Linked DNA regions of Zea mays. The protein of the gene in region 3 interacts with the protein of the main gene of each other region in a pairwise test. Links are inferred from orthologs where the notes say so. Each region holds a gene or a part of one and is shown on either strand. Other genes may lie near its edges.

Region 1 (11,010 bases), about 250 Mb from region 3:
AAACTGTGCTAACGCCTAATCAAGTTTTGTGGTTATAAGTTTAAGTTTTTACAGGATCACCTATTCACCCCCCCCTCTAGGTGCTCTCAGCCTCTCCTTTATGGCAATTGATGCCAAAGGGGGAGAGAAGTGATGAGAAGAGAAGTTGTCTGGCGTCTCCTTCAGGGGGAGTTGGTGGTTCTATGTGGACATTAAGACCATGCATATGCATTTTACCTTTTCATGCCGCTTGCATTAGTTTATGTCTTACGCATTTGGAACTGGTTTGAACTGTTAACTCTATGTCGTATGTATGTGGACTATTATCTGTAATATTCTGTGGGATGAACTATGTTTTAGTTCAAATTACTCTGTGTGTGGTTAATCGAGGAGTGATTATAATTGCTGCGCTCACTCTACGGATCATCTCTTGTATGCCTCGATAACCATGATTGTAGGAAAGTCTCCATCAAACTCCAATATATTATGTGTGTTATATCTTCAGCTTCAAATAATCCTGCACACACTTAGGGGGAGCCTTTCTTATATACTGAGTTTTTATTGGGATTTATCTATCTCTCGGACAGAACTTCAAATCAAGATAAGTCCTATGAAACTCATCTCCAAGATCTATCTTATACCTTAGGTATGAGGGAGATTTGGAAAAACTAAACTTCTCTTTAATATATTATGTAGTGTTGTCATCAATTACCAAAAAGGGGGAGATTGTGAATCATCTAGGCCCCTTTGGTAATGTTTTGGTAATTAATGACAACTGCTTGTGGACTAACGATTCTAAGAGAAATAAGAATGCAGGGTTGGACCACATAGAACAGGAAATGTTGAAGAATCATACGCATTGGTTGTGAATCAGATGAAGGAAAAGGTATAATATAGGTTTCATTTTTGCCGGTCTTGAAGAGTTTAGAGAAGATACCTGACCGGATTAGTAGGCTAGATAGCCGTACTATTAAGAGGGTTCAATGACTTAGATCTGTGTAAAACTTAGTGCCTCATAGAGCATCAAGTAGTTGCATTTGCATGAGGACTAACAGCGCTTCACATTTCGTAAGTTAAAAGTTCTTTCAAAAGCATGTTTGAAAATTGCGAAGTCATGGACGCGCGGACTGTCCGGGCCTTGGGGGCGGACCGTCCGCGATCCTCCAGAGGGGGTCCGAAGTCTGACCACTTGTGTGGATACCTTGTTCTATTGCACTGCGGACCGTCCGGGCTTTAGGGCCGGACCGTCCGCAGTCATAACCAGAGAAGGGTGGCTTCGGGCAGTCCCTGAATTATAGGCGGACGGTCCGGCTGTGATGGGCGGACGGTCCGCAAGTGTCAAACTCGTTTTTGGACAGGGACTGTGTGTTTTTGTAGATTTGTACTACGGACTGTCCGGGGGACCAGTCCGGACAGTACTGTCTCAGGTCTCGGACCGTCCGGGATTTATAGCCGGACGGTCCGCGTGTGTTAACTTCTCTTGATCCGAGGCTCGGGTGTTTCAAGCTGCCAGGTCGCGGACGGTCCGGCCTTGAAGGGCGAACTGTCCGGACCCACCTTTTTGTGTCAGCTCTGACATGTTTCAAACGGTCATTATAGCCGTTATATGTACGGCGGACCGTCCGGCCCTAGGGCGCGGACGGTCCGCGTGTGCGCAGAACTGCTGCCTTTTGCACATAACGGTTGGATTTTGATGGGGGACTATAAATAGAAGGGTAGCTCGTGTGAGAGAGCTCTCTTGGCCATTCCTTGCACACATTGAGCTCATTTGTGATCCTCCAACTCACTCTCTCACACTCTTTGCTTGAGATTGCATTCTAGTGAGAGATTGAGGGTTCCTAGTGCATTTGCATCATTTGGTGATTCTTGAGGCACTAGGTGGTACACCGAGCAAGCGTCATTGGCTTGTTACTCTTGGAGGTTGCCGCCTCCTAGACGGCTCGGGTGATTGTCTCCGTCGAGCTCTCCAAGAAGATTGTGGAGAAGCCGCGGTGTTGATTGTGAGGGGTTCGCGCCTACCTCGCCGGAGCGGCAAAGGTGACATTAGTGGAATCGAGGTATTGAGTGATTTCTTGTCCACTTGGCTCAAAGATCAAGTTGTGTCTTGATAGAGGAGCAAGTGAGAGCTTGAAGTCCACCTCAACGTGGATTAGGGGTGATCGGCAAATCACCGATACCACGAGATAAATTTCGGTGTCTATACCTTCTCGCATTACTTATTGCCTTGCAATTGATTAGTCATTTGCTTATTGTTCTTCAAGTATTCAATCTCCGTAGTTGTTTTTCATACATTGTTTACTTATTGTCACTAGAGAATTTATTCCTCTTGTTGTATTGATTAAATTTATTTAGTATTTTTTATTTTAGTCAAAACCGTCTATTCACCCCCCCTCTAGCCGGTGTCCTAGATCCTACAGAGGCGGAGACCACCTTCCGAGGTCGAGGTTGAGGCCGAGCCCTGGGGTCGGGCGAGGCGGAGACCACCTTCCGAGGCCGAGGCGGGGGCCGAGCCCTGGGGTCGGGCGAGGCAGAGACTTCTCTTGAGGCCGAGGCCCAAGGTCGGGCGAGGCGGAGCTTCCTGTGGCGCCTGAGGCTAGACTCAGCTGCTGTCAGCCTCACCCTAGCGGGTGGCACAGTAGTCGGAGAGGGGCGAGCGGCGCTGTTTTCCTGTCAGGTCAGTCAGTGGGAGGGCGAAGTGACTGCGGACTTCGACCTTGCCGACTGAGGCGCGCGTGTCACGATAAGATGCCAGGCGATCCTTGCATTGAATGCGCCTGCGATACGGTCGGTTGGTCAAACGATTTGGCCAAGGTTGCTTCACTACGAAGCCTGCCCGAGCTGGGCTTCGGGCGAGTCGAGGGTGCGCCCGTTGCTTGAGGAGGCCCTCGGGCGAGGCGTGAATTCGCCTGGGACTACAGTTTCCGCCCGAGGCTGGGCTCGGGCAAGGCGAGACCATGTCCCTTGAAGCCTTGACCTGAATTGTGCCCATCAGTTTCTGCAGTTTGCGCTGATGGTGATTACCAGCCGAGTTTAGGAGTGTTGGGGGTACCCCTAATTATGGTAACCGACAGGACTGCATCGATCCCTAGGCTACAGAAGCCAGGGTCGACATAGCCGCAATGATGGTGTCTGGGACCATCGTCGTCCCCGCGAGTACGCATGGACTCCCCCGGGGTAAAACATTGGTTTTACTCTGCCTTACAACTCCTTCCCATAGAAGTCAGTAAGTCACCGTTGGTCGACCCCTAACCCCGCCTGTAAAAAGGGAGAGACTGGTCTCTACGCAAGGGGATTGAGAAGAAATGAATAGAAGGACACTTGGAGACGACCGAACGCCGTCATAAGGAGACGAACTCACAAGGACGGATAAGAGGAAGAGCGTCGACGAGGACCAGGAGGCCGGAGCCCCACCAAGCCAAGACTTAGCTAGGACTCCACCTCTTAGCTTCTAAAGCTCCACTTCCACCCGGTAAAGAGATCATGGAGTCTCTCCTCCCTCTCTCGACTGCTTGTAACCCATACTACGCGTTTGATTATCAATGGAGCCGGTAGCGCAAGCCACCGATGACTAGATGTAGGGACGTTCTGACCAAACCAGTATAAATCTTGCGCCCTCCGCGCACACCCTCTGGAGCTCAGAACACACACAATAAATTTACTTGTCGGAGCGAGATACAAAACACCGACACTAGTGATCAACTTCATAAAATTCACAAAGACCCTCAAATGGTGCTTCACAAACATTGCTTTCATACTTTCTCACGAAGTTGCACGAAAATTAACCACCATGTCACTCGTTATATAACATACCACTTCGGTTCTCTCGTGACACACAAATCAATTGTATTACAAATACCTCTTCGGTTCTCTCGTGACACACAAATCAATTGTATTACAGACACTGGAGTTTATGTGTAGACCAAACACTTCTCGAATCCACCTCAACAATTTATTAGAGTTGTTTTATGGTGAATCTGGAAAACCGAAGCTAAAGTTATTGAAGTGAAGCTCTATTAAATAGACCCTTATTAAAAAAAAGCAAAGTCAGCTTTCAACTACTTACCAGGAATATAGGGTTCGATTATTTGGCCTTCAATATGTTAAACCAAAAAACGGGGAAGACATGATTTTCGTTATTATTTAGCGTGCTACTAAAATTTTCCAATCTCCGTATACTCCCTCCGTCCTCCCTCCGTCACAGAATATAAGGCGTAATTTTTTTTCTTGTTCCATAATATAAAGCATGCTCTATCTATATATACGTACATCGATATAGTAATATATAAAATTAAATATAAGTTACCTTATATAATGGACGGAGGGAATAATTTACTAAATTTATAACGATTTTTTATCTAACTTTAGCTCATCAATCTTTACCGTGTCAAAATTTAGTGCCAAGAAGCAGACATGGCCCGATGATCTTTTACCCTGTTTTCATAGCTCGCGAGCCGCGACCTGTGTCCAACCTCAACGGTCACTGCAGTCCCAGCACCTCAGCAGCCTGCGCCTGCCATACCCCCTCCCCCACCCACCCACACACACCATCCGGGCCCACGGTGGGACCCAGATGTCATGCGCTGTACGGGCGAGCAACTAGCCCCCACCTCTTCCCAAGAGGCAAAACCTGCCCCAACCTCCCTCACACTTTGTCAGTTTGCCGTCGCTGTCGGCGCCGCCGCCTGTCCTAATCTCCTCTGAGTCCAGCGGCCACCTCCTCCACCGGGAGCTCCCCGTACCATAACCGCAGTCCGCAGCCATTGGAATTTCCGCTTCATGCGTGGATCCTCGTAGACCCCGACCCGCGTGCACTCAATCCCTAGGCGGCGGCCTCCGGCGCGAGGCTAGCGGGCGGCACCCATGGCGTCCGTGGCGGAGCTCAAGGAGAAGCACGCCGCAGCTACGGCGTCGGTGAACTCCCTGCGCGAGCGCCTCCGCCAGCGCCGGGAGACGCTCCTCGACACCGACGGTGAGGCATCCCTCCCCCCTCCTCGTCGGGAACCCTCTCGTGAGGTTCGGGGAATTCGCGTGCATTTGCTGACTTCTATGTGTGCGCTCGACTGCGCGGTGCAGTGGCGAGGTACTCCAAGTCGCAGGGGAGGGTGCCGGTGAGCTTCAACCCTACGGATCTGGTCTGCTGCCGCACGCTGCAGGGCCATAGCGGAAAGGTTGTTGACTTTGGTCTCTCACCTCCATTTCGGCACAACTTTTGCGACTTTTCCCTTAGTTTCCGTTTGCTCGTGTGCAATTGAAAGTGTGAGATGGTTGGGACCCTTTTTTTATTTTCATTTGCGATTGTGGAATTTGGAAATTGGAGTCGCTAGTGCTAGCAATTTCTACCTGCGATGTTGTTCGTCGTGAGTAATAAGTAATAGTGTAAATTGTAATACTAACTGGTCAATAGGATCGCCTCCATGGTGCGTGCTTGTTGACATGGATGGCGTTTTGTTGGTCCTGGACGTGGCTCCTTGTGATGTACCTTCAGCCTCAATCCCTCAACTTCCTTTGGATATTTTAAAAGATTTCGCCTAATTTACCAGGGTTTAGCACCATTCAAGTTTCTCTAGACAGTAGACACAGTATTGTTGATTACAGAGAGGTCGACTTGTGGTTTGGGAATTGGGAATTATAGGTTGGATGCACGTTACAAGGTTATTGGTTCAAAATTTGAAGGCCCTTGCACGTTTAAGGGGACAGAGTTTGTAAGTGCTCAATTAACTTTGTCCTGTAGAAAGTGTATCATCAGATTCATCCAGCAAGCAAGGTACTACTAATTTATAAAACTGTTATGGGCGTTTTGCAGCATTTGGCCACAAAATGGTTCTTAACTATATTAATTTGGCATTGCATCCGTAATTATATAAGCCTTACTGTGACAGAATGTGTAGTAACTGGTAAGGTTAAATCGGAGTGCAATTTGGTCTATGAGAATTTTTAAGTGAGCCATATAGAACTTTGAAAACTGCAAGTGCAGGGTTCACGGATCAAGGTTTGTAAACATTTATCAACAACTGGAATGGGTCCATCAGACCATCAGTATGTAAGTTTTGTCATGTATGATTTTACTTTCTTCAAGCATACCAGGCTAATCTTACCAAGCGAATAGAATTTTGGGTACTTTGCATTATGTAGGCACAGCTTGGCTCTGGTTACAGTAAATTAACACCATATGGTTGTGCCTAATCAGATAATATTATCTTCAGGCAGAATACATCTTTATGTTGAATCAAAGTGTGAATCTGAATTTTGATAACCATAGGTCGCTATAATAAGATTTAAAATATTAGCGAGCAATGAGGGCACTTCATATCCATTCTTTCCATAACCCCGAGGGAAAAAGCCAACTCTAGTACTTAACCATCAACTATACAAGAGAGAATCAATGGTACAACTGGATATGTATTAAGCTGGGCGATCATCATTCAGTTGAAGTAATTATTGGTGCTGTAACTGGTGATAACACGGAGTGTCTTCCATAGAAAAGGTTCCTTTTTGTTACAAATATATAGTTCAACATATTTCACGTAGTGCATTCATATGATCACTATATCACTTACATGTTATTGGTTGAAAACCAATTGTAGTTGTAGAATGGATTGTGGATAAACTGGTAGCTTTCATTTATCAGAGTGATAAGTTTGCTTCATTATATGTTTGTTTTTTCCTCAAAGATGATTAATATATGATAATTACATGGAGCCAGACTGCCAGAGTAATGAAGAAGAAAATGATACCGTTGCGAGGTTGATGTTTGAGCTGTGGGACAGGATTATCTGCATGTACATTCTGTTGCAGAGATACTTAGCGCTGCATGGATCTGTCACTGAAATATTATTCGATAATTGGTAGCTAGAGGTACAAGTAAACAATTCTGCAATTCTACTATATGAGGGGGGATAATGATTATTTCTAGGGGGCAAGTCAAATCATCATTGTAAAAGGGAAATCATTCTTTCTCTTCAGAAGCAAGCTAACAAGGATTATATCATCCCATTATTTTGGTGGCACTTGGCAGCCTTCTTTTGCCCTAGCTTTGATAAAAGGGGCCTGGGGAAGGGATAAACCGAGGCAAGCCTCCTCCCTGCTGCTAAAAATTAGGATCTTCCAGATTTATTGCCATTTAACTAGAGTATTTTTTTGTGAGGGCCATTTAACTAGAGCAGAACACCTCATCATGTTGCTAAAGTTATGAAAACTTTTGGAGACATGGACTTCCACCTGTTCGAAGATGCATAATTGCATATATTTGGATTTTGCGGTGATTCTTGGAAATTCAGCACTTCAGCTATCTGTGTAGGGTACTACTTGCAAAATTGCTGCATCAAATGGTTTAGTGGTATTCTATTAACTCCTAAGTCATCAATCATCACAGGTATATTCTCTGGATTGGACCCCTGAAAAGAATTGGATAGTCAGTGCCTCTCAAGATGGAAGGTTAATTGTGTGGAATGCATTGACAAGCCAGAAAACACATGCCATAAAGCTGCATTGCCCATGGGTTATGGCGTGTGCTTTTGCACCCAATGGCCAATCTGTCGCCTGTGGTGGTCTTGATAGTGCGTGCTCTATTTTCAATCTCAATTCTCAAGCAGACAGAGATGGGAACATGCCAGTATCAAGAATTCTTACTGGACACAAGGGCTATGTCTCATCATGTCAATATGTCCCAGATCAGGAAACACGTCTTATTACTAGTTCAGGTGATCAAACATGTGTTCTTTGGGATGTTACTACTGGACAGAGGATATCAATATTTGGTGGTGAATTCCCATCAGGGCATACAGCTGATGTTCAAAGGTAATTGGTAGTGCTTCTGATTTTTTGAAGACTGAATATTTTAGTGCCATGTGTAGCGCTTCTGATTTCTCTCCTCAAAGTTAATTGGTATCTTCTCATTTGTACATTTTTAACTTAGGCTGGTGCACACTAGGTTGCTAGCTTTACCAATATGTCAATGTTCGATGATCAAATTATCCCTATTGCTTCTAAAGTTTTCTTTGTAAACTGAATATTATTCATGTGGATTTGAATAAAGTTTACCTACAATGACTGGTTTGTATTTGTCTGCTGTTACAGTTGGACAATGAAAACGTACTTTTTAGTACTGAATGTAATTTTAGTAATAACAAGTACTCCTTCCATTCCAAATTGTTGGTATTTTAGTTTGTCATAAATCAAACTTCTCTATTTGTGCAGCAGTTCTAGTTACCCAAAACACTGTTTTGCACTGTAGACTCTACTATTCACAGAGTAGAGTTTGACTATGAGTATGGGTATGGGTAAACTGCTGGAGATAGCCTTAGGTAACTGTGTGTGTATTCTCTCCTGTAATGGGCTTTGGCCCACATACTCTGCTATACTAATACATTCCCAACCCACATTAGGGTTAGGGTTTCAGTGCATTTAACACTATTTACTAAGTTTATTGAAAATGCACCAATATCTACAATATCAGATTAGTTTCATTGATCCACCATGAGATATGACTTGGTAGTGCATTTTTCCACTCTCTGACCCAAATTATAGGTCGTTTTGGCTTTTCAATTTTTGCTATATAGCTAGATATACAATATGTCTAAATACATAATAGAGGTTATGTATCTACAAAATCCAAAACAACCTATAAATTGAAATGGATGGAGTATTTGGTATTGTGTGCGCATGTGCGTGCTTGTTGGACCGGAGGTGGAGTGGTAAGGTCTTCACATGGTAGCACAGTAGGCATTTGGATAACACTCTTGCCTAAGATTGCTGATATTACATCACTTATTATGGATGCAATTGCCCTAGTACAATTGGGCACTACTTACCAACTAGTCTAGCAGACGCATGTGCAAAATATGTTGTCTATGCAGCAAATACATGAACCAAAGTAACATATGGTAGCACATTTATGTTGCGTTTTTTAACTGAAAGTGCTGGTTTATCAGGTTATCATTGATATTTGGAGTTTGGTTTTGAATTCTCTGACCTTTCCCTTTCTTGTTCAGTGTGTCCATCAACTCATCAAATACAAATATGTTTGTCTCTGGCTCATGTGATACAACTGTGAGGCTGTGGGATATCAGAATTGCAAGTCGAGCTGTTCGAACCTACCATGGACATGAGGATGATGTTAACAGTGTGAAGTTTTTCCCTGATGGCCATAGGTTTGGTACTGGCTCAGATGATGGCACATGTAGATTATTTGATATGAGAACAGGGCATCAACTTCAGGTGTACAGTAGGGAGCCTGATAGAAATAGTAATGAACTACCTACTGTTACATCTATTGCATTTTCAATATCAGGAAGGCTACTTTTTGCTGGTTACTCCAATGGTGACTGTTATGTGTGGGACACACTTCTCGCCGAGGTTTGCATTTTTACCATTTACCATGGATTGAATACAGCTTATTTTATATTACAAAGGAAAACTAATGCCCATAATCAACAAGTTACTGGTACACTTTACTGTTTCGCCACGGTTTTCTTAATCGAGAAAAATATGACATACAGTTCACTTGGTGTGAGCCACATAAATTCAATGTTAGGCAATCAGTTAACACTAGTGATATAATCTTTATGTTAGATAAGCATAACTCCATTGCCAGTCAGTAGCAATATAAGCATACAAATGCGAAATCTAGCCACGGGAGAAAGCAATGGAATATGATGAACTAACTGCCTAAATTTTTATTTGAAATGCTCCTCAGCAACTATTGCAATTGCATGAATTGATGTTTGCATTGGACCCAGGACCTCATGAATAAGTAACCTAGCCTCGGTTCCTTCCATATTAGTCCACATATATCATCAACCTAGACTAGGCAGGTCATGCATACAAATTTAGAGGATGCTGCTGCAGATCACCTTGTATTGTATCAAGAGATTCCTAGTTAGTGCTATATGCCAAGAGGTTTAGAACGTTGGTTTTGATTTAGGCCAACTTAATGGATAATTGTATACCTGCATTTAAAAGCTTATCTGAGTTCAAGTTATTGTGAAGGCTTGTCGGTCACCTCCGTTATTTTTTATCTGTTTGTCATTATTGTTTATAGTACCTTCTGTTGTCAATTTCCGTTGAAATTTTGCAGGTGGTACTTAATTTGGGAAACCTGCAAAACTCCCATGATGGCCGTATAAGTTGCCTCGGGATGTCATCTGATGGGAGTGCATTGTGTACAGGAAGCTGGGACAAAAATTTGAAGGTAAGGACACTTAAGAAAGATCATTTTCATTGACTGCTTCCTCAGTTTTGTTGAATTGTTGCCTTTGACACTAACAGTTTTACTCTAACTGAAGTAGTAGTTGTACTACATGCATACTCAGCTTATGCTGTTTGTTAAACCCTACTCAAAGTGAATACCTTTCATTAGAGTACTCTGGTTAAATCTTTACTTGGTATTGATGACGAATACTCTTTGGATTGAAATACGGTACTTCTTAGTTCTTGGTACCTAGGATGGAATAATGGATTATACTCTTCTTTTTCCCCACTCTTAGCATATTCTATCACTAATCCTGAGAATTCCCAGATAAATAGTAGTTTGGTGCAAATTTCAGTATTTTTTATATCGATGGTGTCAATTGTTGAAAATTTACAGATTTGGGCCTTCAGTGGACACCGGAAGATAGTTTGAAGGCCAACTTTTCTCCCCCATGTTGTATGTTCCTTGTTGCCCCTTAACAACGGACAGTGGTGATTGGTGACCAACTCGACTTGTTCCTGGGAATCCCTTTGTTGTTTTGTAAGCTCTGTTCGCGCTATGTTTAATGGAAAAATGTGCAATTTGTCAGTGTCACGGCGCTACATCTTGTTGAGTTGGTAACTGTTTATACTGTTATTACGAGAATATCAGTAACGTGTGATCTGCCCTTTTCTTTGTACAACCGTTTGATCTTTTCAGGTTTTGTGAAGTAGCATGTATTTCCTTAATCAATTTATCATATCAGTTTGTCCATTTGCTGAATTAAGAACATTAGCTTAATGGGGCGTACTATATGCATTTTATGTTTAGTAATCACCACACTTTTGAAGCATGAATTTCTT
Region 2 (10,897 bases), on a different chromosome or scaffold from region 3:
GAGATGTTCTAAAAGCATACAGATAAAATCCCCAACCATAATCATCTAGTTTGTGGCCAATGTATGCTATTGTGGTGATTTATTTGGGAAATCTTACGCACATTACAGATAGGGGTTTTATGCAGTGAGCTTTGGACTTAGATTGATGTAGTGGCATGAATACTACATATTTGTCCTTCAACGTGAAGGATTAGTCTCAACTTCTAGCAAGACACGCAACAACAAGTCGCTTTGTGGTTACAATTCTGCAAACTTACTGTTATTATCACCAAATATACATTCAATCATCAGGATTTAGACTGATACGCGCAACAATATGTTAGCCATAAAAACAAAAAAACTTTAGGGCTCATGCACACCATTTGTCGTTTGGAGCAAGTAGTTGACTTCAGATCAACAAGGACAATGACCATCAGGTCTAGCGCTCACAAGAACATTCATTGGTTGCATTGTGCTTTCAAGCACATAGGAGAGTTTGCGCATATATAATGGTGGTAAAGTGCACGGTATCCGGCCAATACTGCCAAGCAGAGATTTTTATATGCAGAGATGTATAGTCCAGCTCGTTTTTATCATTGCCCATGGGTTACCCAATTACTCATACCATTCTGAAATTGAGTATCGATTTATGCAACATTTTTAGGTATTATAATTTTGAGAGAGAACTTGTAACAATAGCCAATTATTTGTGATATAAGCTGCCAGCGGGACAAACTTTTCTCCTCATATTATATACCAATTTGTTCTATAAATCATTATTTCGATCTCTTCGTTGTTCGTCAAAAAGAGAAGCTTTGGAATAGAACAGACAAGGCCAAGAATTCATTTTATCTGGGAAAATCACCATATAACTAGCTTTTGATGAAGCAAATGATGATAACTGCTTGGCAAGAATGAAATAGGACCGGTATCTGCCTAGGATCCATCTTCAACAACAGATAGTACTGCTCTCATACGAAGAAATCATCAGGAGTAGAGAGGATACAATAGGTCTCCACAAGATCTTCATATTTGTATCACAAATTATCATCACTAGTAGTCTAGTGGTCAAGACATATGACTCTTCTGGCTCCGAGGACCAAGAATATGTTAATGTCTAATTTAGCTTCAAGCTCTGTGGTGATGTGAGATTTCATAGTTATTTGTCTACTCTTCTCACTTCTGGTAGATCGGAGGTAGATAATGGTAAGCATGCCAAAGGGTGGAATTCAGTGTAGTTCGGCTACATAAACCCCAGGTATGTGTCCATTCAGGACCGACCTTTACCATTTAGCTTACAGTGTATACCAAATTGTCAAAGGACTATCCCGAGTCAATTCAGTGACTATAAGTATTTACAATTCCGAGAGATGTATGCGACACAAGCATAGAGGTCCTAGATAGAACGAATAAAGTGGTTCGACGGGAACACACTATAGTTTTCACACCAACATAGTGAAAATTTTCTCAGAATAACCTCTCGGTATACTCGCAACTTCGTGTTGCTGGCGATTACATGTCCTTTTAACTCATGTTTGCTTCATGTCATTCAGCGACAAAGAGAGCAATGTGCTAACATCTGGTTGAGCAATGTATGACTGAGATTTATAGTCTTAAATCATTTGGTAAGGCCTTTTGCTTACTAATAGAATCCCAATTTGTGATGTCTTCTATGCCAAAAAGGCTTTCATGCATTATATTATATATCTTCGGGTTACTTCGGGTAAAACTTTATGCATGAGGAGAGAGCAAAGAATTAACTTATCTATGTTTCATTATATTTCAATTTAATTTCCCAGATTATTCAAGCACTATAGAGCTTGATATAGTTGTTATGGCCACTTGGCGATATATAAATATATAATGCCACACAACACAGTCAAATAAAATATAGAGCCAAACAAAATTGTTTATGAAGGTTGCGTATAATGTGACTTCAGGGGCTTGAATAACCCACCACAATCCACACGAGTACAAGCTCTAGTGTCTGGTGTCAACGCGTGTGTGGCCATCAGGGCTACGACAACACAGCCAGCCTTCGTAATTAACGCAACAAGCACAATTATGGCTCGGTAATCGGGGTACACGATAAGTCCACGTAATGTGCGCAACAGGCGCAATTGTGACTCGATGATCACGGGAGACAGACAGTGCCTGCAGGGCATGCGAAAAATACGCGACTCGGCAATGGCGGTCCGACTCAACGGGAGCGATCCGACTAAGCAAGAGTGCGACATAGCAATCACATGACGCAACCAAGTTCGAACGACATAAATACTATGACGTGTTGCCAGGGCGCAGCCAATGTTTAGCCAATGTCTTAATTCAGCCGATTAATAATGTAACCTGATCGCCACATCTGTGTACCCACTATACCATTTAATCGCTCGGCGTGAGTCTGAAGCTCAACGCAACACAAATATTTAGAGCAATTTAAGTATGAACAATATAGATTTTACATGCATTTTAATAATTTTCTGCTAAATATCCGCTACGAGAAATAAAAGCAGAAAAATAGACACCAAAATTATTGCATGAGCATAACACATCAGGTGTAAAAAGCATTTTCCATATTTAAATATGTATTTTTCTACTAATTATTTACTGCCGGAAATAATTAATTAAAATAGAAATTGTAACATAAAATATGCTTTATTCTACTTGTTATTTACAACAGGAAATAAATAGAATAAATAATATAGAGCATGTATTTTTTACTAATATTTATTGTAGAAAATAATTACTTAGAGTAGGAACCGTAACATAAAATCTGTTTTATTCAGGTATAACTGAACCCAACTGAACTAGTCCACGATTCTGGTTCTCATTTTTTCATCACGAAGAAAAGAAATCTAAAAAGGACCCACAAAAGCTGGAGGCGTTGACTCCACTTCATTAATCTTACATGCCCGTCTTTAATCTTGCATGCACGTCCGGATGGGCAAGGGCGCAAGGCTCCAGGCCTCCAGCCATGCAGTTGCATGTATGTGCCATTACTTCCATGCGCCATCACATACATGCACCATCACGAGTTCACGGCAGCATGCAAGCAAGTCAGTGGCCCCACCTGTATCTATCGTAGGAGCAATTAGCGGAGTCAAGTTCGCGGTCAGTAACTGCCTGCATGGACGATCCACTCCTCTCTGCGCGTGTGACGCACGATCGAGGCCCGCCAGCGAGGTAGCCAGGATGCCCGCAGCGGAGGCGCATTGAGCAGCGGGCCCACGCGACGCAGTAGGATCAGCGGTGCGCGACGTCAGGTCAGTGCAGCGCGCTAGGCGGATTGTTGCATGGGCACGTTCTTTGGAACCCACCAGAGATTGTGGAGCAGCAAGGACTCCCACCGAAACAAACATGAGAGCAGGAAGTTCCGCTAGGTGAGATCCTATGAACAGTAGATCTAAAAAAATACCGTTCGATTGCGTAGAGGGTAATCGAAGTCTGTCGCGTAGGACAGTTCGGCTAGGCCGGTGACCTGCCGGCTCGATGAAGAGTTGATGCAGATCTGATCCCGCAGCAACGTGGAGGTAGAGCGTGCTGATAACGTGTTGAAAACTACGTTACCACGGATCACCAGATCCGCTTCCTTCCCTCCCGTCAGCAGTAGAGGTGCAAGAAGCTGTAGAGAACCCGTCTCCCTTCCCATAAGCACGACAGAGGAAACACACGATACACATGATATAGGGTTGGGCCTCTGGCCTCTTTCTGATCTCTGTATTATGAGGGGTGTACAGGTACCTTATATAGAGATGTGAGACCCCTCAGGAGCAAAGCAGGTATTTGCCTATATAACCCTAACTAGGGTTACTTAACACTTCTATCATATTGTGGGTTTAAAGCTTATCTGTTGCCCTGCTTTTTAACATTCATTTTAGGCTGAATTGATTTTGAAGAAATGTAAGGATTTTTTTTTAAAAAAAGATAACGCAGGAGGCCAACTACCGAGGAAAGCCCAGATAATTACACACTAGCTTCACGGTGAAGGCAGTCGGGGTCACAATTCACAACTCCCAACCCAATCCAGCCCAGCAATCAACAATTCCCCCGGTCGTTTTCACTTGACATCCCCCGTCCCATAGATCGCCGGCGATGGCTCCGGCCGTTGCCGCGGCGGCGTCGGCGGCGATGAGGCAGGCACTGCGGGACCGGCAGATCCTCGATGCCGTGGGCACTGGCGCTGCGGCGCTCTCGCTGGCAGGCTCCTCCTTCATCGTGATCTGCTACCTCCTCTTCCGCGAGCTCCGCAAGTTCTCCTTCAAGCTCGTCTTCTACCTAGCCGTCTCGGTGAGTGGCCTGCTCGAACTTAGATGCTTTTCAAGGGTTTTCGGGTTTGAGCCGCTAGTTGTGCGATGTATCGTGGCTGTTATTTCAAAAATAGCCATGAATAACCACAGAGCCGCTAGGTGTTAGCCTTCAGTGTCATTGAAAATAGTCGTTCATGGCTAGCAAGGAAAATGGTCATTCATCACACACCCTTAGTTTAGAAGAGGTGTGAGTTAATTTTATGCATATTAGATGCATTAGTTCTCCACTTCTCCAGAATCTGGTGTCATCAGTAAGCAGGGAACTGGACCTTCAGAAATGTGCATACCATCGTCAATTTTCACCTACGAGGTAGATTTCAACAGTTGTGTGATAACCTTAGTCTAGTGCCGTCATAGCACATACTGTACATGTTTTACACTTGGATTTGGATTTTGTTTGAAACACCATTCCAATTCCAGTGGTTAAAGTATGACACTAAGATATTTAAGGGGTATTTGGCATCGCTCGAGAGCAAAACTCCAAGAGAAACTGGCCAGAGCTAGCCAATACCTTAACTCTAGAGTTATAAACTCCATAGAGTTTTGAGGCTGCAGTATTCTTAAAAAGCAACCTATACATGGAGTTTGAAGGTATTTATCCACCACTGGCACTTATGAGAAAGCAATCTAGACTCCAGAGCACAGTTGCTCCACCTAGAGTTTTGAAGCAGAGTTGCTTTAGAGTGGAGCAGAGTTATGCCAAACACCCCCTTGAAGTCTTGAGTCTATGATTTGTTGCAGGGACACATGTGCTCTGCCTCCAATTGGATAGTGCCTACTGCCTAGATCACTAGATGGGAATGGGAGCATATTTTTCATACATATAGTTCAGAGTTCATTCTTAAATATGGAATCAGCTGGTGTCATATTACTTATTTTGTTGAATATTGAAACCAATGGCCATAATAAGCACCTAGTTAACTAGTTCATCACTTGACAACTAGTTTGTTTTTGAGAAAAAGGAAAAAAAATGATGTTACATGTCTAGTTGCTTAGCTGACACATAGAAACATTAGCTGAAGCTTGGTTTGTTCATTATTGCTATTGCTCTAGCTGTTTCATGTTTTATGATAACTTTGTTGTCAATTGCAGGATATGTTTTGCAGCTTATTCACTATATTGGGGTATGTTGCATTTCTTCTCCTACACATAAATACTTCCTCAGTTTCATGCTCAGTGTTAATTTACTTTTGCTATTAACAGCCTACCAGAATGAAGATATGCAGAATCAGTTATGCTTATTATTCAATTCATGGCCAAGTAATTTGAACCTTACCCTTGTATTCTGCTTACTAAGAAATATCAATGCCAGTATTAAAACAGAATAATTGTTTTTTTTGTTTAAGAAAAACACACCAGACTATTCTTTCTCTCATTTGTCTCTGTGTCTGAATGCATATTTTGGTTATGTGCTCATGGTAAAACATTTCTTAACGATGTTTTCTTATGTTGCAGGGGGCCATCGAATGCATTTTACTGCTTTGCACATGACTACAGTGCTCATTTCTTCTGTGTGGCTTCTTTTCTATGGACAACCACCATATCATTCACTCTGCATCGCACAGTTGTAAAACACAAAACTGATGTTGAAGAATTTGGATCTATTTTCCACTTATATGTGTGGGGTATGCAAACTGTCGATTACATATTTGCCTTTGTTTGAATTTATATTTTCCAAATTAAGTAACATTTTGGACAAGTTAGAGAACAGTTTCTGGAGAGACCTTGTGTTGAAAGAAATAACAAATTTTTATCCATATGATTCAGTGTTCTTGACAAAAGCTAAAATTGTCCATACCATTTATTTATGTTTGATGTATTGTGTTGCAACTGTTTGATAACACATAGGTTATAATGTCCCTTAGAATTTTTTTAGATTCAATGTGTGTACTTATTTTCATCAGTTTCTTCTGTTACTTTTGGGTCCTTCTGTGCCGTGTAAGAAGCCAATCTTGCAAGTTCCAATCCATTTACCTGTCCATAATCTGCACCTGTGTCTATAACTGTTGAATTTATTTAATTGTTAATATGTTTAGGCCTCATTTGGTAGAGCTCCGCTCCATGATTCTCTAGCTCCGAGAGCTAATTCTCCAATAGAGTGATTCCAAATAATTCTCAAGTAGAAGTGAATCTATTTGACGAAAACCGTTTGGCAAATTGTGCGTGAAGTGATTCATGAGAGGTTAGAGTGTGGGGAGCAGGTTGGGAGCAACGGGAAGCATGTTTTTTTGGCTTCCACTCTCTAGTATAAAATGGAGACTAAATTCACTTCACTCTCACCATGGAGCAATTCAGTTTCTAGCCACTTGGCTTTCTAGAAGTGATTCTCGCTGGGAGCAGAGCTGTGGGAGCTCTGCCAAACGCCCTAGTATCTCAGGCTATAGATTCTGTTTCCAATTTGATTGTCCCATCCCTGGATATTTTGTTGCAGATCAGCATGCTCAAATGGTCCATTGTTTTCATTGTTGTTGCCTTTATCTGCATTTTCATGTATATGTTTCTTTTAGTTTTACAGTTTGGTTGCATCATCTTATTTTGGGACCAATATGTAGCTGTTCTCTCTTATGTCTGTTTCGAATCTTTTTATCTGATGTACTGTAGGTAGGCATACTCCATTTTTAACAGTAGGTCACTATTTTAATGATTTACTTTGGAAGCCATGTGTCAATATGTCACTGTGCCAGCTATAAAAAACAGTTATAAATGGTTTTGAGTTTTTATTTATTTATTTCTCCAGGAACTTCACTATCTACCACTGTATTACGTTCGATAGGAAGTGACTACGGAAGACCAGGCACCTGGTGCTGGATTCAGCAGGGAAGCATGGCAAAGGCATGTGATCTTTTGTGTTGTTTTAGTTTTTTCCTTGATTATTACACAAACATTAGTAGTATGTGCCACTTCTTCGAGAGTTATGTTAAGTGAAGTTCGGTTTATTACGTTAAAGACAATTTTTGTATAAGCTCATCTATGTTTGAATTCTAAGGGAGTTTTATACAATTTATATGGAATTTCCAACATATTTTTCTTGGACTATGAAAAGTCACTATCCTCAGCTAGACAATGAATTTAAACTGAAATTCCAATTTTGTCACCAGAATAGAAATTCTTTCACTAAATTGACCTTACTTGCAGGTCCTACATTTAATAACCTTTTATCTTCCACTTTGGGGTGCCATTTTGTACAATGGGTTTACATACTATGAAGTAAACCGCATGCTGAATAATGCAACGCAGGTTAGCAGACTTTTTCTCAACAATTCTCCCGTGTACATTGAAGGTTACTGTGATCTTTATTGTGAACTATTTGGCACATTCTGCTAATTTTTCTTGCATGTTCTGAATTTTAAAAATCTCATGATTTTTTAGATGGCTGCTGGCATAAGTGATCAATCAAATCAGTCTGACATTAGGGCAGGCAGGAAGGTACGAAATCCTCAACAAATATTTGGCGTTGTTTCTGCTTCAGTGCTTCTGCTGGAGTATTTTCCCCTTTCCTATTGATTGTTATCGACATCCTTTTTTACTTCCCAAGATAGCTTACATGCTCTCGTAAATTTTATACATCCGGGATTGTAGATAAACTAACAGACAATATGCCAGCTCCTTTGATGAAAACATGTTATCGAGTGTGCTCAACCTTCTCTATCATGTTCCCTTCCTGTCCTAATTACCTCTATACAGACAGCTCTTCGTTATATGCAAAAACAAGTGGATAAAAGTTTATTTGAGCCACACACGATTGCTTGTTTTTTGCAGGCATTTAACCGATGGGGTTATTACCCTCTAATTCTAATCGGTTCATGGGCGTTTGCAACTATCAATCGTCTTTATGACTTTGCCAATCCAGGGCACAGGATAGTCTGGCTCTCGTTTCTTGATGTTGGGTTCGCTGGACTTATGGTGAGTCTATTAATGCTTGTTTTTTTATACTAAATTGCTGAAATAGCATACCATGAACTTTTCTATAAAAACTCAGGCTACCTACATATGGTGGGCATAATTTATAGTAAAGGGGCTTGAATAAGAGGCCTCCACATTGCTTCATTTTTTTCTCCTGTCCCTGCAAGTAATTAGCTCTGAATGAGTGAATGGGAAGGCTAAAGGTCTGACCACTCTTGTGCTTTTCTTATGGAAATGGGTACATGAAATATATGTGTGTCTTCAATCCTTCATTATCATAAGCAATACTTCCTCCACCTTCTAGCTTTCTTCCAGATGCACCAATTATAAGTCCATGATAACTATAATGCACCTTTTTGCTTTGTTCTTCCATGCCTACCCCTACTTAAATGCACACATCCATTTATTTTTCCTATATTGGATATGAAGTTATTCATGTAAGTGTTTTGTTTGATTGACACCAAACTATATTCCATGGTTCGCTTCTCTCTCTCTCTCTCTGTCTCTCTCTCTCTCTTTTTTTTTTTTGTGTGTGTGTGTGGATATTTTGACGTTTCCTGTTTTATCTAGGGCCTATTCAATTCCATTGCTTATGGGCTAAACTCTTCTGTGCGCCGAGCTATTGCAGAGAGAATCGACACGTAAGTTTTAATCTGCAACATAGTCGCAACCATACGTTTCTTCATCGCTATGCATTTATTTACTGTAAGCATTCTAGTTATGCCGCTATTCAGAAAGTACTGTGTAGCTATATATAATTTTTTTTCTTCTAAATTTCCCAGGTTCCTACCTGAGAGAATAAAAAGGAGCCTCCCTGCTTTGTCAAGGCTGAGGAGTCAACAGGAAAATGAACTCACTTCTCTTATCGTTGAGGGTAACTGATATGTAATGGAATTTCCATGCACACGAAGCCTTTTTTTTGTTTATCTGTTCGTTCTTCAATCTCCAACAAGGGAATGCAACATCACTGTAAGAGCAGTGGGTTAGTAACACGTCGAATTGGTTCCGCTGTGTCCATTGTTGATCGTCTTAACACGAGACCTGGGGTTTGGGGTTCACCGCTCCCGCTCCGGCCGGAGTACATAGGAGGGCTAGAGTAGGAACAGTCGGTAGATAGACTGATGTTCATCTGTAGCTAGGTAAGCAGAGTTTGTTTGTTCAGATGTACGAGTATAACCACCTGTGTATAATGCACATTCTAGCGCCACATGGTTGCAAATTTTCAGTTCCCCCCCCCCCCCCCCCCCCCCTTACCATTTGTTCTGGTAAGGGAATTTTTGTGTGCTTTTGAGAACTATATACTTGATCTTTCTATGTAGCATTCAATTGATTGTTGTAGTCGGTGATGGCCAGAACTCAGAAGCACTGGAGCTTGCGTGCTCAACTGAGATGACGTGCACTTCTAGGCAGCATCCCTCCAACGATGTTCTCAGCTTTTGTCTTCTCCAGACTCCAGAAATGTTTATGCGCGTGATCTCTGTCAAATATCGAGGGCCGCATCATGGCTCTCCATTGCGATTTTCACTATATTATTCCGAAGCGGTCTGACTGCCTCTGTGTATTGCCTAGGTCTGGAAAATCCGCTCGGCTCGGTGGCTTAGCGAGATAGACTCGGTTTGGCTCGATAGCATTGTGACTTGTGAGTTAAGAGATTAGGCTCGGCTCGGACTATTTTAGGTGCCAACAACTCCTACTAGTAGCTTTGTTGTCGGCCTGGCTGGAACGACACGCTGTTAACGATAACCACGCCACTGATTCGCCGTATGTGTGTTAACGGACATGACGTGGCGTAGACGTACGTCGTATGGTGTACAGTACTTCTGTTTCACCATTTTTTTATTACTACAGGTTTCCTGCTGCTTTCGTTCCCAGTGTTTTAATTTGGCTGTGCTATACTTATGTCACAGTGAGATGGATTCTTGAATAATCCAAAACTAACAGCGTCGTCCCCAAGAGCTTCCAAAACAAACTCTCGATTTCAGAACTTTTGGGGACTTCAAAACGAGCATCTGTAACTTTCGACCTTAGCTCGTTTGACACTCGACCTTGTGCGCAGGAAAACACGCGCTACTAGAAAGTCTCGATCGGGGGGGGGGGGGGGGGGCGGCATTCTTGTCCGTCACGTACGGGTCACGGCTCTGCACTGGCGCGTAAACGAACGTCGTGCTCGTGCATGCTGGCAGGTGACATCACGCGGAGGTGGCCAACGTACGAGTGCGTCGAGGTTGCAACGCTTTTTTTTATATATATTAGGAGTTGATGTTTATGAGCTGTCGAAGAAGAAATCTTTTTTTTTCCAACGCTTTCAAATTTTTTTTGTGATACTTGGACTTTGCAATATCAGCTGCGTGGACAAGAAATGACGACATATATAGCCGCCAAAAAGCAGGCGTGGTTTGAATGAATAAACCGAAGGGGAAGCACTTGAAGCAAAAACAGACGATTGGCCCACTCACACGCCCATATTGCCCCGCCGTCGGGTGACTCGGATGATTTGCTTTTGAACGGAGCGGTAGCACGATACAGTGTGATCATAATCGTCGTAGACCAAGTCATGAGCGAAGCCTTCGTGAGAAAGGAACGCGTAATGAACGAGGCTTTTTTTGTGTTAATGTTGTGCTGTAACTTTAAAAAAAGATTAATAAACGAGGGCTCTATCTAGCCTGTTTGGTTCTACAGAACCAGCTAGGGCAGGACGCTGACCCAGTCGA
Region 3 (10,919 bases):
TCCGACCTCCTCAAATAACCAGGTAGTAACAGAAATAGATATCATGAAATACCCACATGAAAGGAAATTAAAACAAAATATAAGTTTAAATTTCCATATGGCATGAGGATGACTGGATTCCAATTCAGACAGAATTTGATGTTCAGACCAGCAAAACCCTATTGATATTACACAATTAGCTTATACTCAGCCAAAGCTGCTTATGAGAACCTTTTCATTGGATCAATTCAGTTTGAACCTAGTGATAAGATTTGGAAATCGTGCCCCCCCCCCGAAATGCAAGTTCTTCCTTGGCTTGCTGCCCTTCAGAGATGCTGGACAGCAGACCGGCTGCAAAAAAGAGGGCTTGAACATCCTGCAAAATGCCCATTTTGTGATCAAGATCCTGAATCAATTGACCACCTACTAGTTGGCTGTGTTTTCGCAAGGGAATTTTGGTGCAGATTGCTGGGACAGGTCAATCTTCAAGGACTTGCTCCTCAGCCAGGGGAAGGGAAGGCCATGGAATGGTGGAGAAGGATGAGCGAACAGGTGCAAGGCATAGCAGAAAAGGGACTCAATTCCTTAATAATTCTTGGTTTCTGGACCATCTGGAACCATAGGAACGGCTGCGTCTTTGACAAGATCACTCCAATGTAAATGTTGCCATTAGAAGGGCTGAGGAAGAGAGGGAGTTGTGGGATATGGCAGGGGCCAAGAGCCTCTCTCTTCTAACAGCTCCAATTCCTGGGCTATAAAGCGGTAGTTCTCTTGGTGTTGTATGGACGTTTTTCTGTATTTTCGTTTTTGGCCACCGTAAGGTGGTTGTTTTTTCTTGTACTTGTACTGGTCCATTTTGGACCCTTTTTCTTCTTAATGTAATGATGTGCACCTCTCTAGCGCGTTCGAGAAAAAAATATTACACAAGTAGCATATATGATCGATCAAGAAATGCCTTTAGGAAAATATCCACAAAGAGTATCATGACAGATCACGAACGAGATGATTCCATGTTACTTTAGAGGTTGTTCCTTTTTTAACGTAATGGCAGGAGCTCTACCTCTCAATTAAGAGGAAGAGTGGAATTGGCCCAATTTTAAGGAAAACCGGGCCCAAAACCTACACAGGGTGCACAAGCAACCTAGACAGCAGCAGCCCCACACACAAAGCCCATCCAGAGTCATCGTTGCCGAGCTCAACACAAAGAACGAGCAGCTTCGACTCCCCAAGACGGACAACCTAAGGCCAAAGAAAAACCTGATGATGTCTACACCCAAACTCCGACACAGAAGAAGGAAGACCGCAGTGCGCCGTCGTTGCCAAGCATCAAGATACCTCACGTGATACAACTCCGATTCTTCACCAACTTGACTTCCAATCTTGATCCTCCGCCCTGCCCCAGGCATATGCCCAACCTTCGACGCAATCCTGTCAATGAAGAAGGGGGATTTCGCCTCACGTCATCGTTGTCGAGCCACATCCACTGACGTAGCAGCTTCGACTTCACGCTGCAACACCAAACCTTCACCCGCATACCGAACGCCGAGAAGCAAAAGCATCAACCGAAAGGCAACACCATGGTCGAGACAAAACTTCAACAGCGACGCCTTCAGGGAGGGAGTGACATCACGGACGCACCGTCGCATGTCCGAGATGGACCGGGCTTTCGCCCAAGGAAGATAGTGCTGGGGAATGCAAAGCCCTCAACAGGGAAAGCGAAGCCCGCGGGTGCCACCGTCGCCGAGACTTTCACCCAAGAAGTCCCCCAGCACAACGTCAGGCCAAGACCCCGGATCAAAGCAAGCAACCTCTGTCGTCATCGTTGATCTAACAACCCACACAAACCCCTCCAGAGGGGCAGCGACGCGTCGACTTCGCAGCAGCCACAAAGCTGCGTCGGCCACCCCCCCTCCGGTTGGGCACACGGAACCGAGCACCACCATGTCGCATGCGACACACCGACGCACGCCGGAGCCAATACCGGCAGACGCGGCCACCGAAGCCAGCAGACATCGAGCACGAGTGCCACACAACTCGCCTCCAACAGCACCTGGTGCTGCACCCTCCGTCGGCCCGACTTGACAGCAGCAACCGCGACATGGCAGATCTTGGCGCGCGCACCACAGCAGGCGCCGCTGGGGCCACCCCGCTAGTCCACCGTCGCCCCAAACCGACACACACTTGGACGCTGTCGAGCCACCCAACCTCGGAGCACCATCGTAGGACCAGACCGCAGCCATCACCGCCCCAACACCTCTCAGCCTCCGAGCTCCGCACGCCGTTGGTTGGCAACGCTTCTTCCCCGATCCGGCGTCCTGGCAGTGCGAGGAGACAAGCTCTACGCTCCTCAATCGTCTCACAACAGGAGGCGACCGCTGTTGAGGACCAAGCGTGTGATGCCCAGCCACGACGAGGTCCCGGAAGAAGTGGAGCGACTTGTCCTCGGCACCGAAGAGGAAGAAGGCTCGACACTCTGCCTTCTCTGCCAGCCGCACCGTGAGCCCCAGCGGCAGCACTGGCGAGAAAACCGCCTGAAGGATCTGCCAGTACAGAGACAGAACCACTGGCGCCTAGAACAGCCTGCTGCCAGCACCTCCCTCTGCCATCCTTCCGCTGCCGTCCTAGAGACAGTGGTCGAGATCGCGGAGCGCCGGAACGTGGCCAAGCCACGAGGCCGCACGCACAGCGCCACACCCGCGCGGGGACCTTGACTGCCTAGACGCCGCCACTACGCGAGCCCGCCTACTGCTGCGCCGCGACTAAACCGCCCGACACAGAAACCCACTCAGACCTCAGATTTGAGCACGGGGAGACCAATCGAAGGAAGAACGCCCCGCCACCGCCATCCTTGGGGCCCGCGCCGACTTCGGGTAGACTCCTCCGGCGACGACGAGGGGGAGGGAGGGGAAGGGGGTGGCGACGCTAGGGTTTAGGGGCCACCCGTGTCGCCCGAGCGGAGGACGACGCGGGGGCTGTGTTTTTGAATCCTCCGCAGCATATACTATCACTTTAGAGGCTGTTCCTAATGTGCTACTATTATTCAAATACATAAATATAATTTAACACCACCTTTATTTGCTTGAGAGGAGGGAACATCATTGCTGAAGAAAAATAACTTGGCTAGTGTGACCAAGCTTATGTTATGGAAGTTGACAAAGGAATCGGAAGTCTTTTCAGCAAAGAAAAGTTTCTGGTAGAGGACCACATGGAAACTCAAGAGCTTGAGGCCTGAGAGACTCAGATAAAATTAAGCCCGATATATTGCAGTTTCAAGGTTATTAAAACGATAAAACGTTAGAACGTTCATGGGTGAAATTTTGACTTTTAAACGTAGTTTTAAACAACATAGGAAAGATACCAATACATCATAATTTCAGACAATAATATGAAGTTATATACCAAAACAGAGAGGTTAGTGGCTTACCAAAACTTCACCCATGAGCTGGATTGAACCCCAAAAGTAACTAATAGACTGGGCCCAAAAGTAGCTAATGGTCTAAAATGCATAAAACACTGCGTTTTACAGTTTAGAACGCCAAAACGCTAAAACGTGGTTTTAACCTCTAATTAGAGTTTTGACGTTTAAACGTAGTTTAAGCATCATTTAAACGTAGTTTTAATAACACTGTGCAGTTTAGTAGTTTTTTTTCCTTGACGCACTGCAACTGGGCATGACGATTCTGCCTTGTTATATGCAAGGTATAATATGTGTTTCCTTACTGAATATTTTGAAGGAAGGAGAGAATGTGTATAATGTGTGGGATGTATTGCATTGAGCCTCTAGGGAGAATATATAGGAGTACATGACTTGGAGGGCAAAAAGCCTATCCTAGAGATAAGAAAGGTTATCCCAGATGTAAGGAAGGTTATCCCAGGATTATAATCAATCCTAAACCAACCATATCAGGAGTTGCCTAATATACTCTAACATGCATAATATACTCTAATTTAACTAATGATCTCCTAAGGTCTTCAAAAGAAATATTTCATAGTTAATCTAGGTTCTCGTTCTGCTGCTATCTGATAGCCTCAAAAGGTAGATTTCAGTACCATGACAATCAACATGAAATATGTGACATTGTAAAACGCATATGTAAAATCTCTCCTAAAAATAGATTGAGGATAATTGTGTACCTTTGTCGGTACATAATCTTCTTCAGATAATTTGTCCAAATTTTCCATGAAGTACTGTGCACAGTCTGGGACTTGCAGAATACTCCCACGTGAATAAGTTTCCTACAAATGAATTTCTAAATGATCAAACTTTATGTTTAAAAGTTTATACATTTTTTAAAAAAAATCAAAGTAAATGGAATTTCACCTGAATGGCTGGATCTTGCCATAGTTTTCTTACATCCTGTACACGTTCTTTGTTCAACGATGGGTATTCCAATCTGGCACCAATTTCTGATAGTTTTTCTCCAATCTCCTGAATTAATAATAAAGTTACAATACAAATATACAAAAGGTAATTAAGTAAAAATGTGTGTGGTGTGCTATGAGAAGCTTCTAAGAGCTAATAAACGCATTGCAACGTCTACCAAGATGAGATTTGTTAACTATTTAACCTCATAACTACAAACAAAGCAAATGCTCATAACTTGACATAGATGAATACTGCATAATAAACATTTGAGACAACAAATATTTGAGCAAATCTAAAGCTGCCTTCTCTGAAGCAATAAAATGTAGGGGCAAGGTTCCTAGCTGCCTTCTCTGATCAAATGCTCATTTTGTTAGCATGTAATCGTGCAAAGCATAATAAGGCAGTTTGGATTATAACAGCTCCAGGCAGGTTCAACCATAGCAATTGTGTCAGGACCACACCAGGACAATTACATTGCAAAATAACCAAGTTTGCCAAAACTTAACTCTAATTTCTGAAGGCAAGTGTGCAAACCTGATTATCTGGAGATAAGACATATTTTGAAGAATCTGGTTCCACTTGGGCTAACTCTTTAGCTCCCTCATATAATATCTGCGTGTGCATGTTTAACTCATTTACTGAGAAAAAATATCTGCAAATACACCCTCATTGGAGCAGCAAGAAACTCCATAACGAAACCTTCCTACATAATCATCTCTACAACGTGATAGAAAAAAAAAGACACACCCTTTTTAGTATAGCATACTTTAATTGTCTGATACACATTAGCATGGATGACTGATGTGTAGCTCCTAAGCTCTGCCTCGTCAAAGCCAGTTTGGAAAAGAAGCTTTATCTGCGAATGAGCGGTAAGACACATCCGTGACTTGCTGTCTTGATGATGACATAAGAATTATGATCCTCTAGGGAGTGGCATAAACCTTACTTGTTTAAATATTGTAGACTTCCCCGATTCTCCAGCACCTTACAAAGAAGTGATTGAAAAGGAGGATGACTGTTAGGAATACAGGCAAAGTACCTTATCAATGGACAGGCACATTATCAAGTCTAGAATGCATGGAAAGAGAAGTGACTAGGGATCAACTTCGCAACAGTTCTTTTGGCTGATCCAGCAAACTATCAAGAGAGAAAACTACAGAACAGATATACTTCACATGAAGAAGAAAAAAAAGCTCTTAAGTTCAAGTAAGTTGGCATTACCGAGAAGTAAGAGCTTGTGGATGTGTTGTTCGGCTTTTGTTTCTTGCAAAATCCTCCGGTCAATGTCTGCAGACTGCACCCACACTGCTAATGTCAGAAGGAACCAAGTGTTGCTGCTTACCAACACAAAATCATAACCTCCTGATAGCATCAGCCTGGTCTAAGTGACAAGTTACCTTTGCATTTTCAGCTGCTTCAGCCTCGTCGAAAGAATGGGATCTGCTACAGGATGAGCCCATGCTTTCAATCACGCAGGTAAGCACAGACATTATTCTAGAAGCGCGCTCTCATGCCTGGCTGGGGAGCGGATATAGTAAAGGACATGGGTGTACACATGTACGCCCAATAATGTTTGCAAAAACACGAAGTTAGAGCATGGTACATTTATAAGCTTGCAATTAGATCAGATCAGATCCGAATACAAATACGCAAATAGCTTAGGTTAGGGTTCGGGTGCTCGGTTCCGCACGGAAGCAAGCGAAGAAGAGGGGGGTGCGCGTACCTGGTGGGTGCTCGTCGGCGAGGGGGCCGACGAAGACCTGACGGAGGGGCTGACGAGGCTACACCTGGGCACCTGACGGAGGGACGCGGCGGCGGTCGCCCACTAGCGCCACTCAGAGCCAGAGGGGAGAGAGCGAGTGAGCGAGCGCACGCGGGGTGAACAGTAGAAGAAAGGCAGCGGTGAACTGGAGTTCCGTGCTGTATGGTCGCCACCTGGTACCAGTGAAAGCGAGAAGGAAAGGCACGTTCTCGCATCGCTGCCGAGAGAGAGCGTGTTTGGTCGAGAAACGGACGAGAATGGAACGAGGAGGTGTTTTTTTTTCTGGGTGTTTAGTTTTTAATGGAACAGAAATAAAACGGCTCATAAAGTCTATAGGTAAAAATGTATCATAAATAATTAGAATGTTTTTTCCACCAAAATAATCGGATAGGAGCGCTCTTTTGGACGGGAGGACTCTCCCCCTCGTTCCCTCCCTAATCATATGCATCTCTAACCAAACAAAGAATATTTTACTCTTTAACCAGACAAAAAAAATGAAACACATATATTCTGCTTGCCAAACATAGGACATAATGGCTCCATTCTTTGAAATAAAACTGTCACATTCTAGTTAACTCTTCAACCAAACACACCATAGGGATCACGTTGAACATATTGGTTTGCTACAAATTGAAAGGAAACTTTTGCTTAGGCGGGTGTCAGTGCACCATCCCCTCTTGCTCTACCACGTCAGCTCCAGACTGCACTCTTGACCTTATTGTTCAAGTGCATAGTCTGCAACAGGCTATACCCTAAACCCACAACCACATCGGGGTTTTCTATTTCAGAATTAAGTAATTCACGTAGATTTATGTCAACGCTAAAAAACCACACAACATACTATTTTTATTGAAATAAAAATTTGTGATATCCTGGCCCCTGAGATGGTGATATCCTGGCCCAAGGCTTAATAAAATTAATAAAGTATCCATACCAACAAGGTGCATCTTCTTTTTTCAGAAGTCTGTCTCGAAAAAACCTCCAAGTTAAGCGTGTTTGACTTGGAGCAATTTTGGATGGTGACCGACCGGAAAGTTTTCTCGGATGCGCACGAGTGAGGACAAAGTACGCACAAAAGACTCGTGTTGGTCTGTAGGGACAATATATGATCCTAGAGAGCTGTTAGGAGTAAGTACCGCCGGTCCAGGGATTGGACGCAGTGTTACAAGTGGTATCAGAGCCGACCCTCGAGGTTTCACGGGCGTGTGTGGGCTAGGGGGTCGGGTATATGGCGCATGTGGGCCCAGAGTGGTCACATGGCATGGCATATGACGACACTAGACACACAGACGTGACTAAGAGGAGAGATTCCTGGATTAGAGTTGACCGACGAGGACGCCGGTCTTCTAAGGGGGGTGGATTGTGATATCCTGGCCCAAGGCTTAATACAATTAATAGAGTATCCATACCAACAAGGTACATCTTCTTTTTCGAAAGATGTCTCGAAAGAACCTCCAAGTTAAGCGTGTTTGGCTTGGAGCAATTTTGGATGGATAACCGACCGGAAAGTTTTCTCGGGTGCGCACGAGTGAGGACAAAATGAGCACAAAAGACTCGTGTTGGTCTGTGAGGACAATATATGATCCTAGAGAGCTGCTAGAAGTAAGTACCGCCGGTCCAGGAATTAACGGGGTGTTATAAAGCCTGCCCTGGTAGGGGTTATTTGTATAGATGAATTGGGTATGGAATTTGTGATTTTCACAATTTTACGAACGTTTTGTACTTGTCGAAACCGACTAGCTACATCGCTAGCACATGTGGCGCTGACGTGGCCAGGTGGACCAATCGAAACTGCCACCTCACTATCGCCCCTTGCTATCACCCAGTGATGTTGCCACCAACGCGTCGCTTGCCTTTCAACTATCTCTTGCTCAGGGACATGTTCCAGTGGTGGATGAGAGCGGCGCGATACCGCCCGCTCTCACTGGCAGTGGCAGCGTCTCCCACCAGCTCGCTCGCGCCCGCCTGTCGTCCCACTCCCTCCTCACGTCGGACGTAGGGTTGACGAGTGCGTGCGCGCAGTCAACCAAACACCGTCTCTCTTTCTCTTTAGTATGTGAAAGGGAATTAGGCTTACACCTAGTCCCTAATTAATTTTGGTGGTTGAATTGCCCAACACAAATTTATTGGACTAACCAGTTTGCCCAAGTGTATAGATTATACAGGTGTTAAAGGTTCACACTCAGCCAATAAAAAGATCAAATTTGGATTCAACACAGGAGCAAAGGGCCAACCGAAGGCACCTCTGGTCTGGGGGCACCGGACTGTCCGGTGTACACCGGACAGTGTCTGGTGCACCACCGGACATGACCGGTGCACCAGAGGACTCCAACGCCAACTCGCCACCTTCGGGAATTTCCAGAGGCACTCGCGCTATAGTTCACCGGACTGTCCGGTGTACACCGGACAGTGTCCGGTGCGCCAAGGAGGAGCGGCCTCAGGAACTCGCCAGCTTCGGGAAACTCCAACGGATAGTCCGCTATAATTCACCGGACTGTCCGGTGTGCACCGGACTGTCCGGTGCGACTCCGGAGCAACGGCTATCTCCGCGCCAACGGCTCTCTGCCGCGCATTTAATGCGCGCTCTGCGCGCGCAGAAGTCAGGCGCGCCCATACTGGCACACCGGACAGCAAACAGTACCTGTCCGGTGTGCACCGGACACCCAGGCGGGCCCACAAGTCAGAAGCTCCAACGGTCAGAATCCAACGGCAGTGATGACGTGGCAAGGGGCACCGGACTGTCCGGTGTGCACCGGACTGTCCGGTGCGCCATCGAGCAGACAGCCTCCCAACGGCCACTTTTGGTGGTTGGGGCTATAAATACCCCAACCACCCCACCATTCATTGCATCCAAGTTCTCTACTTCCCAACTACTACAAGAGCTCTAGCATTCAATTCTAGACACACCAAAGAGATCAAATCCTCTCCATATTCCACACAACGCCCTAGTAACTAGAGAGAGAGATTTGTTTGTGTTCTTTCGAGCTCTTGCGCTTGGATTGCTTCCTTCTTTCTTGATTCTTTCTTGTGATCAAACACTCACTTGTAATTGAGGCAAGAGGCACCAATTGTGTGGTGGTCCTTGCGGGAAGTTTGATTCCCAAAGTGATTTGAGAAGAGAAGCTCACTCGGTCCGAGGGACCGATTGAGAGAGGGAAGGGTTGAAAGAGACCCGGCCTTTGTGGCCTCCTCAACGGGGAGTAGGTTTGCAAGAACCGAACCTCGGTAAAACAAATCCGCGTGTCACACTCTTCATTTGCTTGCAATTTGTTTTGCTCCCTCTCTCGCGGACTCGTTTATATTTCTAACGCTAACCCGGCTTGTAGTTGTGATTATTTTTGAGAATTTCAGTTTCGCCCTATTCACCCCCCCTCTAGGTGACTTTCAATTGGTATCGGAGCTCGGTGCTTCATTAGAGCCTAACCGCTCGAAGTGATGTCGGGAGATCACGCCAAGAAGGAGATGGAGACCGGCGAAAAGCCCACTACAAGCCACGGGAGCACTTCATCGGAAGAGTCCCGCACCAAGAGGAAGGAGAAGAAGAAGAGCTCCTCCAACAAAGGGAAGGAGAAGAAATCTTCTTCGCACCACAAAGAGAAGAAGGAGAGATCTTCCTCCCACAAGCCACATCGGAGAGGGGACAAGCACAAAAGGATGAGGAAAGTGGTCTACTACAAGACCGACACTTCATCAACATCGACCTCCGACTCCGATGCGCCCTCCGTAACTTCTAAACGCCAAGAGCGTAAGAAGTTTAGTAAGATCCCCCTACATTACCCTCGCATTTCTAAAAATGCACCTTTACTTTCCGTCCCATTAGGCAAACCACCAACTTTTGATGGTGAAGATTATGCTAGGTGGAGTGATTTAATGCGATTTCATCTAACCTCACTCCACAAAAGTATATGGGATGTTGTGAGTTTGGTGCACAGGTACCATCCGTAGGGGATAAAGACTATGATGAGGATGAGGTGGCCCAAATCGAGCACTTCAACTCTCAAGCGACAACAATACTCCTCGCCTCTTTAAGTAGGGAGGAGTATAACAAAGTTCAAGGGTTGAAGAGCGCCAAGGAGGTTTGGGATGTGCTCAAAACCGCGCACGAAGGAGATGAGCTCACCAAGATCACCAAGCGGGAAACGATCGAGGGGAGCTCGGTCGGTTCCGGCTTCGCAAAGGGGAAGAGCCACAACACATGTACAACCGGCTCAAGACTTTGGTGAACCAAGTGCGAAACCTCGGAAGCATCAAGTGGGACGACCACGAAATGGTTAAGGTTATTCTAAGATCTCTCATTTTCCTTAACCCCACTCAAGTTCAATTAATTCGTGGTAATCCTAGATATACTAAAATGACCCCCGAGGAAGTTATCGGGAATTTTGTAAGTTTTGAGTGCATGATCGAAGGCTCAAGGAAGATCAACGAGCTTGATGATCCATCCACATCCGAAGCTCAACCCGTCGCATTCAAGGCGACGGAGGAGAAGAAGGAGGAGGCTACACCAAGTCGACAACCTATAGACGCCTCCAAGCTCGACAATGAGGAAATGGCGCTCGTCATCAAGAGCTTCCGCCAAATCCTCAAACAAAGGAGGGGGAAAGACTACAAGCCCCGCTCCAAAAAGGTTTGCTACAAATGTGGTAAGCCCGGTCATTTTATTGCTAAATGTCCTATATCAAGTGACAGTGACCGAGGCGACGACAAGAAGGGGAGAAGAAAGGAGAAAAAGAAGTACTACAAGAAGAAGGGCGGCGATGCCCATGTTTGTCGGGAGTGGGTTTCCGACGAAAGCTCAAGCGACTCCTCCGACGA

The links.
Region 1: the proteins of ct2 (region 3) and guanine nucleotide-binding protein subunit beta interact in binary tests that used the Arabidopsis thaliana proteins (3 or more experiments, as listed by UniProt). The link is inferred for Zea mays from reciprocal best matches to the Arabidopsis thaliana genes GP ALPHA 1 and AGB1.
Region 2: the proteins of ct2 (region 3) and G protein-coupled receptor interact in binary tests that used the Arabidopsis thaliana proteins (3 or more experiments, as listed by UniProt). The link is inferred for Zea mays from reciprocal best matches to the Arabidopsis thaliana genes GP ALPHA 1 and GCR1.

What each region holds. Positions count from the first base shown.
Region 1 is NC_050096.1:264,531,846-264,542,855, reverse strand, and holds guanine nucleotide-binding protein subunit beta, read left to right. Parts: upstream 1-4,624; 5' UTR 4,625-4,839; coding exon 4,840-4,948; intron 4,949-5,052; coding exon 5,053-5,147; intron 5,148-6,682; exon of another isoform or gene 6,683-7,351; coding exon 7,352-7,776; intron 7,777-8,969; coding exon 8,970-9,333; intron 9,334-10,054; coding exon 10,055-10,168; intron 10,169-10,564; coding exon 10,565-10,600; 3' UTR 10,601-10,911; downstream 10,912-11,010. UniProt on the Arabidopsis thaliana protein: Guanine nucleotide-binding proteins (G proteins) are involved as a modulator or transducer in various transmembrane signaling systems.
Region 2 is NC_050101.1:119,611,308-119,622,204, forward strand, and holds G protein-coupled receptor, read left to right. Parts: upstream 1-3,982; 5' UTR 3,983-4,068; coding exon 4,069-4,263; intron 4,264-5,375; coding exon 5,376-5,407; intron 5,408-5,738; coding exon 5,739-5,908; intron 5,909-7,020; coding exon 7,021-7,115; intron 7,116-7,418; coding exon 7,419-7,520; intron 7,521-7,652; coding exon 7,653-7,709; intron 7,710-8,042; coding exon 8,043-8,186; intron 8,187-8,756; coding exon 8,757-8,827; intron 8,828-8,968; coding exon 8,969-9,068; 3' UTR 9,069-9,425; downstream 9,426-10,897. UniProt on the Arabidopsis thaliana protein: Together with GPA1, may regulate the cell cycle via a signaling cascade that uses phosphatidylinositol-specific phospholipase C (PI-PLC) as an effector and inositol 1,4,5-trisphosphate(IP(3)) as a second messenger.
Region 3 is NC_050096.1:16,619,418-16,630,336, forward strand, and holds the start of ct2 (Guanine nucleotide-binding protein alpha-1 subunit), read right to left. Parts: upstream 6,188-10,919; 5' UTR 6,069-6,187; intron 5,864-6,068; 5' UTR 5,836-5,863; coding exon 5,743-5,835; intron 5,640-5,742; coding exon 5,567-5,639; intron 5,330-5,566; coding exon 5,292-5,329; intron 5,202-5,291; coding exon 5,112-5,201; intron 4,958-5,111; coding exon 4,880-4,957; intron 4,409-4,879; coding exon 4,301-4,408; intron 4,216-4,300; coding exon 4,114-4,215; intron 1-4,113. UniProt on the Arabidopsis thaliana protein: Exhibits a fast rate of basal nucleotide exchange. Guanine nucleotide-binding proteins (G proteins) are involved as modulators or transducers in various transmembrane signaling systems.